Linked DNA regions of Schizosaccharomyces pombe. The gene in region 1 interacts genetically with each later gene. Each region holds a gene or a part of one and is shown in the gene's direction. Other genes may lie near its edges.

The links. Genes that interact genetically often act in the same process or in processes that back each other up.
Region 2: mutations in ate1 (region 1) and clg1 together harm fitness less than expected from each alone (positive genetic interaction), as found in Schizosaccharomyces pombe (2 studies listed by BioGRID).

The regions. Positions count from the first base shown.
Region 1 is NC_003424.3:2,076,601-2,080,894, reverse strand, and holds ate1 (arginine-tRNA--protein transferase), read left to right. Parts: upstream 1-2,051; 5' UTR 2,052-2,164; coding exon 2,165-2,281; exon of another isoform or gene 2,282-2,335; coding exon 2,336-2,367; exon of another isoform or gene 2,368-2,408; coding exon 2,409-2,474; exon of another isoform or gene 2,475-2,528; coding exon 2,529-3,052; exon of another isoform or gene 3,053-3,098; coding exon 3,099-3,169; exon of another isoform or gene 3,170-3,210; coding exon 3,211-3,471; exon of another isoform or gene 3,472-3,510; coding exon 3,511-3,615; 3' UTR 3,616-3,788; downstream 3,789-4,294. Other genes in the region: AAA family ATPase Elf1, read left to right, coding at 1-1,621.
Region 2 is NC_003423.3:1,745,220-1,749,433, reverse strand, and holds clg1 (cyclin Clg1), read left to right. Parts: upstream 1-1,617; 5' UTR 1,618-2,007; coding exon 2,008-3,393; 3' UTR 3,394-3,657; downstream 3,658-4,214.

The DNA.
Region 1 (4,294 bases):
TAGTATGGCTATCCTTGACTTTGTTGCTCAAGATAAGGCGTTACTGACTATGAATGTTACCCGTCAAGAAGCTGCTGATGCTTTGCATTCTGTTGGTTTTACTGCGGAGATGCAGGAAAATCCTGTTGCTTCTTTATCTGGTGGTTGGAAAATGAAACTGGAGTTGGCTCGTGCCATGTTGCAGAAAGCTGATATTTTGCTTTTGGATGAACCAACAAATCATCTTGATGTTGCCAATATTGCATGGCTGGAAGCATATTTAACCTCTCAAAAGAATATTACTTGCTTGATAGTTTCTCACGACTCTTCATTTTTGGACCACGTGTGTACTGACATCATTCATTATGAAGGTGTTAAAAACCAGGCAAAAAAGCTTGGTTATTATCAAGGTAATCTTTCAGCTTTTGTCAAGGTCAAACCGGAAGCTAAATCATACTATACATTGACAGCCACAAACGAGAAGTTTGTTTTTCCACCTCCCGGTATCTTAACTGGTGTGCGCTCAAACACACGTCTCATATTAAAAATGACAAACGCTTCTTATACATATCCCAACGCGAAGAAGAAGTCATTAGATAATGTTACCGTTGGGTTATCTTTATCTTCTCGTGTTGCCATTTTAGGTCCTAACGGTGCTGGTAAATCAACGCTTATTAAAGTTCTTATCGGTGAAGTAATCCCTCAAGAAGGAAAAGTTTTCAAGCATCCCAACTTGCGTGTGGGTTACGTTGCTCAGCATGCCTTTCATCACTTGGATCAACATCTGGAAAAAACGCCAAGTCAATATATTCAATGGCGTTATGCTGGAGGACAGGACCGCGAAGTTTCAGAGAAGGAATCTCGAAAACTTACCGAAGAAGACCGTGCTCAGCTTCAGCGTGATATTACGGTCAATGGCGAACGTAGAAGAGTGGAAGCTTTGATTGGCCGTCAAAAACTAAAAAAGTCATTTCAATATGAAATTAAATGGTTTGGGAAGCCTCATAAATACAATACGTGGGTGTCTCGAGAAATATTGCTTGAAAATGGGTTTCAAAAGTTTGTACAGGCTTTTGATGATATGGAATCTTCTCGCGAAGGTCTCGGTTTCCGTGAATTGATTCCCGAAGACATCAGGGCACATTTTGAGGATGTGGGCCTTCCTGGCGACATTGCTGATTACAGCCCCATTAGTAGTTTGTCTGGCGGTCAAAAGGTTAAAGTTGTTATTGCTGCGTGTCTCTGGAATAACCCCCAGCTTTTGGTTTTGGACGAACCTACAAACTTTTTGGACAGAGATGCATTAGGTGGTTTAGCTGTTGCTATTCGTGATTGGGAAGGTGGGGTCGTTATGATTTCACATAATGAAGAATTTGTTTCTGCGTTGTGTCCTGAACACTGGCATGTAGAAGCGGGTAAGGTTACCGGTAAGGGCAAGACCGCTGTTGACGATGGAAAGTTTGAAGATCTGTCGGAGAAAGATTTGAAAAAGATTGAGGCTAAAGCTACCAAAAAGAAGAAATTGACGAGAAATGAAATCAAGGCCAAAGAAAGACGTGCTAGAGAGAGAGAATTAGCATGGTTACAATCTCCCAAGGGCACCGAAAAACCCAAATCATTCTTCTCTGATGATGAAGAATAATTTCAGACTAATTTTTTAATTCGCTCTTTGGATTGACAAGTTGAGAGTTGTTTATCCTTTAATTTTCTTTAGACGGTGCTAGTTGTTGAAGTTGGTCTTTTACATATTTACGGTTTACTGATATACCTTTTAGACTTAATTTATATATATAGAACTTGGTGGATGGTATCGTGGATAATATTAATATTAGTCGCTTTTTATATGTTTTGTTTATCGTTAGTGCATGTTATAGTTGTATTAGACGTATACACTTTTGTCATTGACTCTTGTAAAAGGTGTCAAGAGAACTATGTATTTTTTGGGTTTTTTTCTAGATATTCGTATGAAAATGTGATAGACTTTTTAATATGATTAATCAGGAAATTTCTATAAACATGCACTCAACGAAAAATAGGGTACTTAATCTTCAAGAAATAATTGGTGTAGTCTTAGTTCACCTACTCAAAGAGCCTTCAAAATAAAGGCAAAAGAACTGAACTAAGAGTTTTACTACTGATGATATAGTTCATTTAATATTAAACAGGGAAATTTTCAAACAATAGTATGGTATTGGATAAACTGTTGTACACAGGGTACAACGTCAGTACTGAATGTGGTTATTGTAAAAGTGGAAGAAAGACCGAGCATTTTGGTTTATTAGCAGAAAAGCTCAGTTGTGAAGTAAGCGTATAACTCTGCTTTTTGCAAATTTTGCTAACCTACATTTAACCTCAGGACTACCAGCGATTGATTGATTTGGGATGGAGGTAAAAACCTTTATTAGTTAACATTGCTAATATAAAATAAGACGTTCAGGACATTATTTATATAAACCCAACGGGAAAACATCTTGCTGTTCTCTTTATACAATCAGGTACTTAGCATAAGTCGCCAAATATGATTGATTACTAACCGCCGAATGTTGAAGACTCGACAGCTATAATTTTAAAATTGCAAAAGAGCAAAAGAAGGCAATAAAAAAATGGGTCAAATATGTAAATGGAAAGCCATTAAAACCTATGAAAAGCGAAATTAGCACAGATTATTTGAACAATGCCTTTCAAACTATAGAATCGCTCGGAGCTGAAAAATACTCTGTAACTATGGAGCCTTGCACTTACACCGATGAGAAATTTGAAGTCTTCAAAAAGTATCAAATGCAAGTTCATTTAGAGAAAGAAGAGGAAATCACGAAAAAAGGATTTAGCAGGTTTCTTTGCAACTCTCCTTTATTTAATGAAGACAAGGGGATAAAGTATGGTTCTTATCATCAGATGTATCGATTTCAAGGAAGGCTTGTGGCAGTTGGAGTTTTAGACTTGCTACCACATGGTGTTTCTAGCGTTTATCTGTTTTATGATCCTGATATGTCTAAGTTTTCTCTGGGAAGGATTAGTGCCTGCCGTGAAATCTGGCTTGCTCTTGAATGCGGATATCGGTACTACTACATGGGTAGGCTAAAATGTCATTTATTTAATTACGTTGATTGACCTTGCAGGTTATTATATTCACACATGTCCCAAAATGAAGTATAAGGCAACGTATAGTCCATCGTACCTGCTTAATCCCGTACGTATACATTCGATTTTAACTTGAACTAATACAAACAGGGTACAAATAAATGGATACCAATTGAAAACTTTACTTCACTTTGGAATACTGGTGCTCCTAAATATATAAGTTTCGGGGATGAAAATAATAGTGATATTCAAACTGCTGTTGACTACGATTCTTCTGAAGATTCATCTCAAAACGAAGATGATTATACACTGTTTAATCGACAGCTTCCTGGAATTCTTTCAGTAAATGTTGCTGAGTCCTTGGTTTCGGAGAATTTTGCTAACATTGGCAATTCAACTTTCCCCACAAGAGTATGTCTTTATTTTTGAGTAACAATGCTAATTCTTCAGCATGTTTTAAGTTATTTCCCTCAGGTTAAACATTGGTTTGTTGAAATCAATGCTGCTGTGGGCGAAGAAGTCGCAAAGAGTTATACACTTGTTTTATCTAGTTGATATATTATCTGTCTACGTGTTTTATTTGCTTAAGATATGAACATCCTACTTAAAAATCTTAATGAACTCCAGGATGGCTTTGAGAGTAAATTTTACAATGTGACTTACAGAATTAAGTTAATTTTATGCTACTACTTATGTGTGATAGTTTCCTCTTTTATGTCCCTTAATCGAAGTTGATAGCATTTCTAATAATATAAAATACTGCCGGCTTATATATTTATTTTGTAATTATTTATAACTGCACGCTACCTAAAATGTCACCCTAACATAACTTAGTGGGCTTTTCCGTTACGAGTTGTTTGCAACCAAACACAAAAACGGGTTTACCGGTACTTCACGACTTAATATAATCGCAAAACAGTGCATAGTAGGTGAGAAAGGATTTTATCATTTAGAGAAGAGATTTTACTTTAATTGTTCTTCTTTTTTCTTTCTCAAGTGTTACTGCTAGGTTCTCATTCTATAGAGTATTAGCAAACACCAGATTTCGATGACATTTCGTGTCAAAATTGGGTTGACTGCATTTTAAAAATAATTAATCACGGTTGGCTTACAATTCAACTTCTAGGCACTGATTTTTTCTTCGAATGCCATTTTGAAGTTATTTTACTTTTACTTTCCTAAAACAAGGTGTTGTAATAAGGGATTGTTCTTTTATCTATTTTTGTACCATTTG
Region 2 (4,214 bases), on another chromosome or scaffold:
AACGATCACTCCCTGCATTCCCTTCCTTCTTCCTTCCTCCTCCTTTCACCCCACTATTCCCCTCAACCACTCCACTCTTCCTCGCTCTTTTTTCTTATTCTCTCTCTCTCTCTTTCATTATCCCATTTAACGATTTCCTCCATTTCCCTCCTTCCACTCTCCACTCAACAAGGTTTGTCTCCCTCTCATGTGCTCCGTTAATGCTCATTCTGGCTCCGACGGCTTTTTGCCTATATACATCAACAAACTTTGCTTGCGTTTTCTCCTTCCTTCCTCCCCATTTCCTCTCTTCCTTTTATTTTTTAATTTCACGCGTTTTCTTCTCTACACTCTTAATTGTTCTTTTGCGCGCCCTTGATTTCGCGCCTTCTTCTTTTCTAGCATCGTTTGTTTTTGTTTTGGCTTTGCTTTGTTATTTTGTTTCCCTTTCCTTTTACTGTGCCTTCACTCTCCTCTTTTAATTTCGTTTTCTCTCTCTCATTTTCCTGAGTATTCATGCTGTCATTGGTTTCCTAATTTTTCATTGGTTTGTTTGTTTACGTTTTCTTCTTTCGCTGCTACAATTGTATTTATGCGCGCATCTTTTTATTTATTTACTCAAGTACATATAGTTATATATATATATATATATATAAAGCATCTGCCTTGCTTTCTTTCTACGGCTTCCCCCCCAACTGCCAATACACTCTTCACTCAGTGCTTTGGTTAGCCCTTATTCAAAAAAGTTTGCGTACTGTATACTGTCTTGAGACTTGAACAACTTTTTTTTTTTTTTTTTTTTTTTTTTCAGCTTACATTTTGTAGTCTGTTTTTCTTTTTCTTTTACTTTTTAATCCTTTTTTTTTTCTTTTTCTCTCTCTCTCTCTCTCTCTGTTTTTTCATTCATCTAATCGCTCATCCCTACTTATCCTTTTATAATTACAAACCCGATTTCTTTACTCGCTCTTCATCTCCCCTTTTTTTTCAGTTTTTGTTGTTTACTGTTATTTTTTACTTTTTTTTTCGTTTCACTCCAAATTGTCTCGAAAAGCTAATTGTTGAATTTTTTTTTCTCAACTTGCTGAAGTAAACATTACCTCCCTTTTTAATCTTTGATTTCTATTTATACATCTTTTCTTATACGACAAAGACATCCACCAGTTGATTTTCTCTTGTCTCTTTAATTTCTTTTTTCCGTCTACTTTTCGTCTATCATACTCAGTTCTTGTTTATTCTCTCCTCTTTAATTGCTCCTTCCATTTCATTTCACTTTCTACTCGATTTTTACTTCTCAAGTTGTTTCTTTATTTAGATAACTTTCAAATTCTCCTCTTTACATACTTATTGTTTGTCTTGCTACGTTTAACTTATTTTTCTTTGATTTTTTTCCTGCTTGTCCCATTGTTTGTTTACCTCGCTCCCAATTTTCCTCACCGGCAATTGCTAATTAAAATCCATAAAGTTATCTAACCGATCTATTACGTTAGATATCTTAATTTGGGTTTAACTTTCTTGCTGAATAATCTTCAACGCTACGCTATTTTTCAGTGCTTAACAAAGTGAAATTTTTTATTCCTAAAAAATTCTCTTTCCTAAGTTGCAAGCATTTTCAACTGCGTTACCAGCTTTTCAGAACCTGCGCACAACCAACCACCGTAAAATTTAGTTTGGAGGGTTCAATCCTATTTTTTTCCTTCTATATTAGCAGTTTTTTTGCAGAAGTCGAGCTTTTTACTAAGCCTCGTCTATTTGCCAGCGAAACAAGCATTCCTTGGTCGGGTTTTGCTAGAAGTGAGTGTTAATAAGTCTTTTTCCTGTCTCTTGGGTAAATTTCTTATTGTTGAGCATTCTTTATCTCTTTTTCATTTTTTTTTATCGTTCTTCCTTTGTATTCTTCTTTCCTTGAAAGGAGTACTCAAGAAATCGATTACAAAACTCGAAAAAGACTTGATTAGGTAGAATAGCAAAGGAGTTAAAAATTTTTTTTTTAATTCTTCAATTTGCTTTCCTTTTCGAAATTCTTCAGCAATGTCGTTTCCTTATCAGCACACTTCACGTTCTCAAGTTCAGCCTCCTTTGGCTGCCCCCGGCTTGAGTATGTTTGCTCCTGTTTCGTCCAGCAATAGTGCAAACTCTGCTTCTTCGGTTGCTGCTTTGTTGAGTCATGCTCCTATGTATGGTCTTGGCCAGCGTCGTCCGTCCTTCTTACCTGGCGTTTCTGTGCCCGATACGCTTTCGGTAAGGTCGGGCTTCTCCATCCCTTCCTCCTCTCATCATCCTTCCGCTGTTCCTTCCCTTCTGTCGCAGCACCGTTTACAGCAACCTCAACCACGTCTCTACCCTTCTGCGCCTCTAAACTATTACTGGCCATCTTATCAGTCGGTTCCATCTGCCGCACCTCCACCACCCTCCCAGCAACGCTATATGCCTGACTCTGCCGTTGCCTATAATCCTAACCAAGATCAATTTGGCAATTCGGTGAATGTATCAGCTGCATGTAACAACGTTTCCGCCCCTTTGATTGCTAACAATTGTGCTCCTTCCTTTTATCAGTCTCGACATCCCGTAGCAGATGTGCCTGTAACCAACAATACCGCCACTACTACCTCCGAGACTGATAATACAATCCCAGGTAATCTTAACATGCCTTCGGTTGCTAACGTTCAACAACGTATTTCTCCTGTCTGCAAAACTAACATGGAGGATCAGGAAGAAACCGTTTATACCGGAGGTGTTGCTGCTAAACTGGATTACAAGATGGATCAAATGGTGGAATACTTGTCTATCATGACTTGTAAGTTGTATGCTCGTTTCCTGAATAATGCTCAAATGCATTCTCTTGCTAACTCTTTACCTGGTCTTGTGTTTTCTTTCCGTAAGGTCGTTACACAAATTTTGACGTCTACGCGTTTACCTCGTGCCTCTTGCTTGCTTGCCTTGTCATACCTTTCCGATCGTCTTGACGCCGCATCTCAAACGACTGATTTTGTAAACCAGTGGACTAAGGAGTCGTTATTCTTCCAAATATGTGCTCTTTTAACGACCGCCTTGATTTTGGCTAATAAGTTTTTGGATGACAATACGTTTACCAATCAATCCTGGTCGCAAGTTACTGGTTTCCGTACTGCCTTGTTGAACAGCTTTGAACAAGACTGGCTAGCTAGCATGTCCTGGAATCTTAGTCCCGGTCCTCGTGGTCAAAAGGCATGGGAGTGGTGGAGTGCTTCTTATTCTTTGTTTACTTCCTCAAACGCTACATACTCTGGTGAACAAAAAACTTATAGCCCTACTACGTTGAGCACCAACGCACCACCATCGCCCTCTTCTGGACGTTCTTGCTCTAATTGCAACTACTATTATCCCTATACACCCGTGGGATATTATCCAGTGTACAATCGCTATGCAATGACTTAGTGATCGTGCTTACTTTCTGCGGGTGTTGTTGCTTGACGGGGTTTGTTTTTCGTTTCCTTGCGCTTATAAACACTTTACGTGTTTTTGTTATTCTTGTAACTTTTTTCTCTTTTCATATTGTATGACGGGAACTTTTGTTTAACCCGTCATATTGTATTCTCTAATCATCTCCGTGATGAATTCGGCTCTCTTGAAATTAATTTGCCGTTTGATCTTGCTTTTCTACTTTCTTATTTTTTCAAATTTTAACAGAGAAAAAAAAAATTTCCCAAAAAAAATTGAAAAGTAGTATACCGAAAAAAAGGAACCAACTTCTTATCAGTATCTGTTTTATTTTTGTCGTTGGACTTTTATTTTGCTTTCTCGTGTGGCTTTGTTATCTATTGGAATATCTTTTGATGCAATTCTGATTTGTTAATACTGCTTGATGTATATACATCCGCTACTACTATAGGGATCGCGGATTTCCTTTTTAAAGTTCGCCTTCAAAAATTAGTAGTCTACTTATACAACTAGCTTCATCAAGAAATACATTGTGAATAGATGAAAAGGCCCATGGATGCTTTGAGTTTATTTTTCTGTTTCATTAGCAAAGATTTTACTTCGGGCATCGTTTTTGTCCTTATTTTGTTTATTTTTTCTCCTTTTGATACTTAAATGAGAAACCTTTGCTTGCTGTTTTCTAAGGATTAAGCATAAAATTTTTTATTGCGATTTTCCAACTCCCAAACTGTTTGTTATGATTACCTAGTTTTATTGCGCATTCGTCGTATGTCTACTAGTGAGATAACGGATTTATATAATCTCTTATACTTGATTCT